Linked DNA regions of Cricetulus griseus. The main gene of each other region encodes a partner of the protein of the gene in region 2 in a complex. Links are inferred from orthologs where the notes say so. Each region holds a gene or a part of one and is shown on either strand. Other genes may lie near its edges. The genes, in order: Ghrh and Ghrhr.

Region 1 (4,538 bases), on a different chromosome or scaffold from region 2:
GGGAGTGGCCATTGGGACCAGCTCTGCCTCTCATGACAGTGTCCCACATGCTCGGGTCAACCACTGAGCATGGTCTTTCTTGGGCATTATAGGTTCACGGACTTCACAGGGGATCCAAGGTGTACCCTTCACGTCACTCAATGCAGTCTCTTGGGACACCTGTTAAAACTCAGGGCCTGAGATCCATACCAGAAGTACTGATAACATTTCAAGACACACTGAGCCTGGCCTCTTGTTCTGCACTGGACACACTGCAGTGGCCATCGTGCAATCCCCTCACACATATCACTTTCTGCCCCTGAGGCCTGGGGGGTAGGGAAGGGCTTTGTCCCTTTGCTTGGAAGACTAGGCCCCACCCCTGTGAAGAGAAAGTGATTCTTTGCTTTTCTTGGAAACCGAGGGAAGAAAGTCTCTAAAGTCCCTAAAGAAATCTCTCCCTGCCTCCCCCCTGCTCCCTCACCTGTGGCACACCCCCTCTACCCTGTCACCTGTGCTTCTGCAGCAGGGCTTCCAAGAGGCTCTCCAGTGACACCTGCCTGTGGTCTGCCCACATGCTGTCCACCTGACGGCCAAGCCGTACCCTGGCTCCTGGTTCCTGGTTCCTCTCCCTGCGAGTTTGGAAAGGAGAAACAGTGAGGCAGTCATTGGCTAGGATGTCCAGTCAGGGACGTAGACCTTTGCTATTCCAGTATCTGATGTGGATTCTTAGGACGCCCACCCATGTTCAGCAGCATCTGGGGAGCAGTAGGCATTGCAGTGAAGAATGCAGCACGCATATGTATACCACTGCAAAACCCTCCCCACAGATTGATAATCTTGTAGGCAGCACATTAAACAAGGGGTCAGATGTATCGTTCACCAGTAACAGGACAACCCATTGTGTGGCAGCTTCTGATACCATGGCTGAGAAGGCCACATGGATACTAAATATGAAGGTAGCTTGGATGGGTTCACTGTGAAGGGAAGTCTAGGGAGTAATGACATTTACTAGTCAAAGTTGTCAAAGTCAAGAAAATCAGGCATCTTCCAGGTTAAACTCAAAGATATGCGGAGGGCTGGAGAGATGGCTCAGCAGTTAAGAGCACTTCTTGTAGGGGACCCAGGCTTCATTCCCAGCATCCACCTCACAGCCCTCCATAACTCCAGATTCAGGGGATTTAATGCCCGCTTTTGACCTCAGAGGGCACCTGGCATGCATGTGGTACACAGACATACATGAAAGCAAAACAATCCTATACATTAAAGAGAGAGAGAGAGAGAGAGAGAGAGAGAGAGAGATGATGATGGTGATGATGATGATGATGATGGCTAAATGGAGTCTGTGATCCTACACTGGACCTAAGGTCAGGGAAGACATTATTATAAGGAATCTGTTGGGACAACTGATGAAATTTGAATAAGTGTTGTGAGTGACAGCGGCACTGAGGACAGAGGGGGTGTTGCTTGTTAGCTGTTAAGAGATGCAAGTCCCGCAGGGTAAAAGGTCATGATAATTGTAGTCATGAGACTACAATCCCAGCATTCAGGAGACAAAAGCAGGAGGCACAGAAGCAAGTCATCCTCAGATACATACTGATTTCAAGGCCGACCCTGGTATACAAGAGCTTGCATCAAAAGAAATCAATTTTAAAGTGGCTCAGATAAAATGAGAATTTTGTATTTATTTATTTTAATGTGTGTGGGTTTTGTTGTTATTGTTTGCCTACATTTATGCCTGGTGCCTGTGGAGGCCAGAAGAGGGTGTTGGATCCCCTGTGACTGGAGTTGAAGATGTGTATAAGTCTCCACATAGGTGCTGGGAATTGAACTCAGGTCCTGTGCAAAAGCAGCACTTGCTAACTCCATCCCTGTGACATTTTTGTACATTTGAAGGTTTTTCAAAACAAAACCTACAAAAGTCAGGCTGTTTGGATCTTCACTTAGCCACTCTTTGTTCATCCTTTGGAGATGGCACACAGGGTCTGTGCAACGGGGTAACGACAGGTGGTCTCAGAGACCTGAGAAGAGACTTATAGAGGTTGCCCTGGCACGGGAGTCCTCATGAACGCACATGTCCTCATGCCTAGTCTTTGTTTCTGGCCTGGAGTCCTGATCAAACAGGAACAATGACCATCAGCATTGTCACCACTGGAGCCAAGGACAGGGAGAGGCACACAGAAGGTGTAGAGGTAAATGGAGGCTTGACCTGCGCAAAATCCAGGAAGGATATATATTCTCAGTCTGTGGGTTGCAACCTCTTTGGGGGTCATATATCAGATACTTACATTACCACTCATAGCAATAGCAAAATAACAGTTATGAAGCAGCAACAAAGTAGTTTCATCGTTGGGGGTCACCACAACACGAGGAACTGTATTAAAGCGTCACAGCATTAGGAAAGTTGAGAACCACCAATATACACTGTGTCAGGACCAAATGAAGCTTGGTCCCCACCTCCTGCATCAGGCCTCCCCAGCTCTAATGCAGGGGAAGAACTACTAAAATATCTGCTTACCCCTGCTGCCTGCTCATGATGTCCTGGAGCAGTTTGCGGGCAGACAGCTGGCCCAGAACTTTCCTGTAGCTGTTGGTAAAGATGGCATCTGCATATCGACGCACCCTGTGCAAAAGGGTCAGAGGTCAGGATGGGCCTGGCGAGAGGACAGTGCAGGCCTCGCCTCCCTCTGTTGTTCTCTGTCCCCCTCACTCCCTGAGAAACTCAGAGCCTGGTTGCATGATCTCTGGGGCTCCGTGCCCGGTGCCTGCCTGAGATGAACAGTGGGCATTGTGAAGAAATAGCGGTGGCTGCAGTCAGCATCTCTCTCTGCCCATGGTAGGGAGGTCTCGGGGGTGCAGGAATCCTGGCTGCTCACCTGAAGGGCAGTGATGGGAACGGTGAACAGTGGGAGCCGCTGGTGAGGGTGAGGATCACAAAGAACACCCAGAGTGGCATCCTTCACCCCTGGGTGGGACCTGCAAAGAAGACCAGGAGGGCACAATCAGACATAGCCACAGTGTCCCCTGGGCACCACTCCATGACAAGTCCTGGTCCTCATCCTTTGGCTGGTGGGCTTTGAAAGTCAGACATACCTGTATTCAAGTTCAACACTGTCAGTCCTCAGCTCTGGCTTCCGGCTTCCCCATCTGGGATGAATGGGACAAAGCCACACTAGCTACTGCATGAGGCTGAGCAGGAAATCTGTTAACTTGGTGAAACCGCCTCTCTTGGAAAGGATGAGGGGAACACACACACACTCAGGAGAGACACAGGCAGAGAAAGCATTGCCCCTGGTTGACTTGCAGCAGGGAGCAGAGGACACCATGCTCTCAGATAAATCTGACCTCAACTCCTGGTTCTGCTCTCACTACCTGAGCTCCCCATTACAAGTGGCTCAACCTTTCTGAGCCTCAGTTTCCCCAGCCACAGAATGGAGATAATAACCACAATGATCAGGTCAGGTGAGAAGAAACACATAAGGAACGCTCTAGAAACTTTTGCTGTGGTCACCTAACACTTATTTCACTCGGAGGATAGATTCATGCTGTTTCATTTTGTGTGGAGTTGCAGTAAAGATGGAAGTGTCTTGTTCTGGAAGCTTACATTTTGGAGGTAGAGTATTCGAGACTTGCCTGGAATTCACTGTGTTGTCAGGCTGACTTCTAACTCATAATCCTCCTGCCTCAGCTTCACGAGAGCTGGAATTATAGACATGTGCCACCAAACCTGGCAGAATTGTTACATTACACAGAGCTCTGAAAGGGGAAAAGGGAGCATCTAGTGTGAGTATGCCAGAATCTTTTCACTGACTTCATAATGGCCCTTAATTGGGACCTGTTAACACCATGCTCTGCAGTTAGGGGAGAGCTGCCTTGGCTAAGAGGATGTTCCTTTTAGCTCTGGCCTGCCCTGGTATGGAGCCAGTCACTGGCCAGCTAGGAGCTGGGTCTTCTCAGCAGAACGACTGCCCTGGAGGATCTGACTGGTCCCTGAAAGGCACCATTCCCATGATTCCTCTCTCCCTAGTCCCATTGAGGGCTAGGTCCAGCACTGACCCAGTCCACTAGGTCACTTCTCTTCAGGCAACAGGCCCCTCTGCAGATTCTGGCCACCTCTGGTTAGGGTGCCTTCGGTCCCAGGAAGTATTAGTGGGAACTGTTCACTGTGGCTCCAGTTCCTGCACCCTACACCAGGCCTCTCAGGTATGTTTTCATATGACTTAGGCCTTGTTTCTTGGGCCAAGCATCTACGCTCCCTGTCTTCCTCATATATCACACCAGGGGATTCCTTTTCCAGCTGGGCTGGGCCTCTCCAGAAGTGGAACTTTCCAAACAGGGAACCCTTTGGACATAAGGAGGATCCCTTGACTGCAAGCCACGGCATTTCCTGCCTCTCCACGACACACTGGCTTTTCACCTTCTTCATGTCTTATCTCCAGACCCCTGCTCACTCTCGCCCTCTCTTTCTCTGTCTCCCTCCCCCCTCTCTCCCTTGCACTCTCTCTTTCCCTCTCTCTCAAGTTAGGGTTTCTTTGTGTAGCCTTGGCTGCCCAGAACGTGCT
Region 2 (4,381 bases):
CTTCTCTATAGCCCTTGATTTCTTCCTGTGTGCCACCCACGCTGGGCAACATGTGTAGAAAATATTTTCAGCATTTTGTTGACAACGACTAAGAGTGGAAAAATAAAGCCCTGCTGATGTCAAATGACTCCTAAATGCAGATGTGGTGGCGGGAAGCTTTCCACATTCATGACACAAATTCACTAGAAACACATCTGGCACCCCCAGCATACAGCCCAGCAGCTCTGTAAATTGAGATGGCCACTCAGTGATCAAGACCCCTTAGTTCCCCCCATCATTCAGGGTTGTTCAAGGTGACATTCACTTTCAGTCTGCAAATGCTGAGCAAGATCTAGTCTGGCTTAGGACACTGTCATTATTAGCCTGGCCAATCGAGCGCTTGCGTTTTGAAGTCAAAATAAAGAGTGGGTCTCTTCACTCCTACAATGGAAGATGGATGCTGTGCCCCTCTTGAATGTCCCAGCTCCAGGGACCCCTTTAAGAGGTCTCCAGTTAGCTTCCATTTCCACTCTGGACAGGAGGATTATTGAGAAACTTTGTTTAGCCCCATGTGTAGTTGGGAGCCTTGATGATGCAGAAGATCTCATTATCTTTGTGTCCCTATCAGGTAAATAATGTGGCACATTCTTGGTCAGCATAAACTGTGTTTAATGACAGTTTCTTCATTTGTGGTGGCAGAGATTTAAACCCAGAGCCGCACACATGTTGAGCAAATGCTTTACCATTGAGCCACACCCCAGACTCTTATGGCCATTTTTCATAAGGCTCATTCAAACATTCCAGGCTCCACTGTCACCCGCCCCACTTTTTCTGGGTCCCCTCAGCTTTGAGCTCACCCTCTAGACCCTTAGAAGAGACTGGGGGCGTCAACAGACCTGGGGCTCCATAAAGGCAGATCTGGGTCACCTTCTTGTTTTCTGAGGTCCCTTCATTCTGGTGCAGGTATAGGACCATCCTATACTTCCAGGTAAGACCACGGGGAACTGGACTCAGAAAATGACAGGAAAGTGTATTAAGTGTAACAGTGTCCTGTGGTTGTCACTTCTCTGGTATCCTATCTGTGCCCTCTGGATTCTTGCTGTCAGGACAGGTACATTCAGGCATGGGACAGGTGCACTCAGACACAGAGGCAGAGTGAGGTGGTGTATCAGAGCTCAGCCACCCCCTGCTGAGGACACAGAGTCCCATCTAGAGCTAGCAGTAACACAATGTCCCACCATTCTGCTCAATATTCAGCTGGGTGTCCCTGCTGTTGGCCCTGCCTACACAGTTCCTGGGAAGGGGAGGTAACAGAAGGTGCACCTAGGTGGCATCAGTAGAGACAGTCTGGGAGGGAAAAGGGCCAAGGCTCATTGAGGCTGAGCGCAGGCATCGCTGCCATGGACTGCCTGTTGTGGGACACCTGCGTCCTCTGCTTGCTGAACCTGTTGGGAGTTGTAAGTAGCCAGCTCAGGCCTCCTTCTCTTTTCTTCTCCAGCTGGGTGGTGGCAGGCTGTGGCTGAGGAACTCCTCAGTCTGCTGGCTTTCTCCTTTCTTCCCTTGACTAGTCTCAGACTCTGCCTTGAAGTGAGATGTCTCCTTGTTCCCTTGCCCACGTCGTATCTGTGTCCTCTGGGGGCCCTAGAGACACATGCTGGGAGTTTCCATCTTGGGATAGTTGAGCCCAGATATGGCCTCCATGTCACACCCGAGCCTGTCCCTTCTCTAAGCCACACACTTCCAGGCTGCCAACCATTTCTTCTCAAAAAGAACCAACACCTTCTTGTTGTCCTCTCTCCTGTCTCCTCAGCCACCTCCAGCATGGATGTTTCCTTGAAGGGAGTGTGGCCAGGAACTCTGTGGGGCCTGAGGAATTAGCTCTTCTAGCTATGGCAGTTGGTGACTCTGCCTTTGGTGATGCCAGGATTGGAGAGGCTTCAGAAACCAGCCACTGCTCTCTGGCTTGTGCATCAGGGTGTGGGCCAGTCAGGAGTACAGGTTTCCCTGAGTGTGCAGAAACTTCCCAGCAGACTTTCTGGGTCGCTGAAAGTAGCATCGAGGGCCCAGAGGGGAGGAGCCACAAGACACTAGCAGGAGCACATGGGGACTGAGGCTGCCTTCTTCCTCTACTGATTTGCCAGAGTGACCATCCATTCTAGTACCTCACTGCCCTTTGCTCAAGATGCTGGCATCTGGGGACCATGAAGTGAATTGTGTGACACTTGAGACTTCATTTGTCTCTGTAAAAAGAGAAACTTGAGTGAGGCAGAGGCAAGAGTATTATGATGAGTTTGATGTTAGTCTGGGCTACACTGAGAATTATAGTGCAGTCTACAGGGGGCTGCCATGCCTCTAGGAGGTGGTGGGGGATGAGCGATCTGGCTTGTCAAGGGCTGCCACGTGGGTGTCATGCAGATAACGTCCACGAGCTCCCTATATGGTACGAAGGGCTCACACTCTACTCTGTGTACATAGCACCAAAGCTTCATTTAGGGGAGGGAACCCTAGACCCAAACCTGTTGTTCAGCAGCTAGGGTAGATACCAGATTCGGGACTAGAGTTGACCACTGTCTTCTTCCAAACCTTGAGGTGAGCAGTTAGTCGGGTCAGGGAAAGGACCAGTGTGTGTGTGTGTGTGAGAGAGAGAGAGAGAGAGAGAGAGAGAGAGAGAGGAAGAGAAGAGAGAAAGAGAGAGAGAGGGGAGGAGGGAGAGAGAGAGAGAGGGAGAGAGAGAGAGGAGGGGGGAAGGAAGGAGGGAGGGAGGGAGGGAGGGAGGGAGGGAGGGAGGGAGGGAGGGAGGGAGGGATCTTGCAAAGGCATTTGGGTAAGTCTTGAGAGATATTAGGGATTCTAGCTCTCTAAAGAAAAGGTCAAATGCCAAATCCTAGTCATACCCCAGATCTCTGCCTAGCCTGGAGCACTTGGGTTCCAGATGGCCTCTGAATCACCCTTCAGAAACACAGATGTCCAGATAAACTTAGAGACCATTCCTTGTGGTCTCCCAGGCTCCGGGAGGTACCAATCTTCTATCTTTATGATCACCAAGCCACACATGAAGGCAGCATCCTTCTATCCATCTAATGATCAACTCCGCCACCCTGATACAGGACCCTTATCATCCATTATACCTCCTCCATGCATCCATATGTGTCCATCTTCCCTTATCGCATTGTCCGTGTGTCTGTCTGAACACTCATCCACTCCACCAGCCCTCCAGCTAGTACCCCCTCTCCCAGGACCTCCTTCCTTCCTGTTCATTGTTCCTTTATCTCAGTCAGGTGCTATTGTCTTCTCTCTCCCCCAGCCTCCTGTATATTCCCCACTTACTAGTTTACACATTTCCTCGTGTAACTTGCCTGAGACACATCCACAGCCCAACATGCTTTTCAATGGGCTAAACCCAAGTGTTTGGCAGGGCTGTGGTCCTTCTGGAGTCTCCTTGCTTGGCTGAGGCATTTCTTCATCTTCAATAAGTACAATAGCTCCTTTCATCATGTCCTCTCTGACTTGATCTTTGTGCCCCCTTGTGATGGCTCTGGTCCCGCTCAGATAATCAAGGACATCTTCCTGCTTGGAGATCATATATGCTAAGTGCCTTAGTTGTGTCAGGTTTTGTGGACTGGGAAATGGACATCTTTGGGGACCATTGTTCTACCTACAAGGGTTGCTTATGCAGAAACACTTGCAAGGCCTAGAAGTATGGAGGGATGGGGGGAGAAAGGGCCATGTTAGGGACTGCAATGTCCCATCTGTGGATTCTCTAAATGGCTTTCTTTAAGGTGTCTTAGAATTCACTGCCATGGGCTAGGAAAGTGCATCCATCCCTCCCTTCTTTCCTCCTCTCTCTGCCCCCCTCTGTTCTTTCCCTTCATGTCCCCCTTTCTTTTGCTCCCTTTCCTCCCTTATCTCTGAACTTTTGCCCTCTTTCTCCCACTCCCTCCTTCTTCATGCCCCACTACCCATCAAATATGCCTTGATACTGCTGGGACAGATGGGTCCTCAGAATCGGGGCACAACAATATACCAGGCCTGCTCTCTGCCTTTATATCACTAGAGCTAGAGAGCCGGAGGCCACCAGTGGGCTTGGCTCACCCTGTCACTATTTCTCATAGGCACTGGGTCACCTCCACCCAGAATGTGACTTCATCACACAGCTGAGAGAGGATGAGCTTGCGTGTCTTCAGGTGGCAGAGGGGACCAACAACACCTCCCTGGGTATGAAGGGGTGGGGGATGGATCCACCCTGATGCTGACATCTCCTCCAGTGCTGTCCTTTAGCATACCATGTCAGCTTCCCTCTGAGGTCACTCTGAATCTCCTTCTTCTCCACCTAGGCTGCCCTGGGACCTGGGATGGGCTGCTGTGCTGGCCTCCGACAGGCTCTGGCCAGTGGGTGGCCCTC

What was found.
Region 1: the proteins of Ghrhr (region 2) and Ghrh are in contact, whole or in part, in a cryo-EM structure (PDB 7CZ5), measured with the Homo sapiens proteins. The link is inferred for Cricetulus griseus from reciprocal best matches to the Homo sapiens genes GHRHR and GHRH. Residues at the interface, in NP_000814.2 of Homo sapiens: Leu119, Ala120, Glu122, Glu123, Phe126, Ser127, Val129, Lys130, Tyr133, Val179, Lys182, Leu186, Phe187, Asp190, Thr192, Asp193, His194, Cys195, Phe197, His210, Thr213, Phe217, Ala271, Cys272, Asp274, Leu275, Asp276, Trp282, Ile285, Ile289; in NP_066567.1 of Homo sapiens: Tyr32, Ala33, Asp34, Ala35, Ile36, Phe37, Thr38, Asn39, Ser40, Tyr41, Arg42, Val44, Leu45, Gly46, Gln47, Leu48, Ser49, Ala50, Leu53.

Annotation. Positions count from the first base shown.
Region 1 is NC_048599.1:22,214,503-22,219,040, reverse strand, and holds the start of Ghrh (somatoliberin), read right to left. Parts: upstream 2,933-4,538; coding exon 2,853-2,932; intron 2,600-2,852; coding exon 2,495-2,599; intron 609-2,494; coding exon 489-608; intron 1-488. UniProt on the Homo sapiens protein: GRF is released by the hypothalamus and acts on the adenohypophyse to stimulate the secretion of growth hormone.
Region 2 is NC_048601.1:85,940,065-85,944,445, reverse strand, and holds the start of Ghrhr (growth hormone-releasing hormone receptor), read left to right. Parts: upstream 1-1,379; coding exon 1,380-1,436; intron 1,437-4,091; coding exon 4,092-4,194; intron 4,195-4,313; coding exon 4,314-4,381.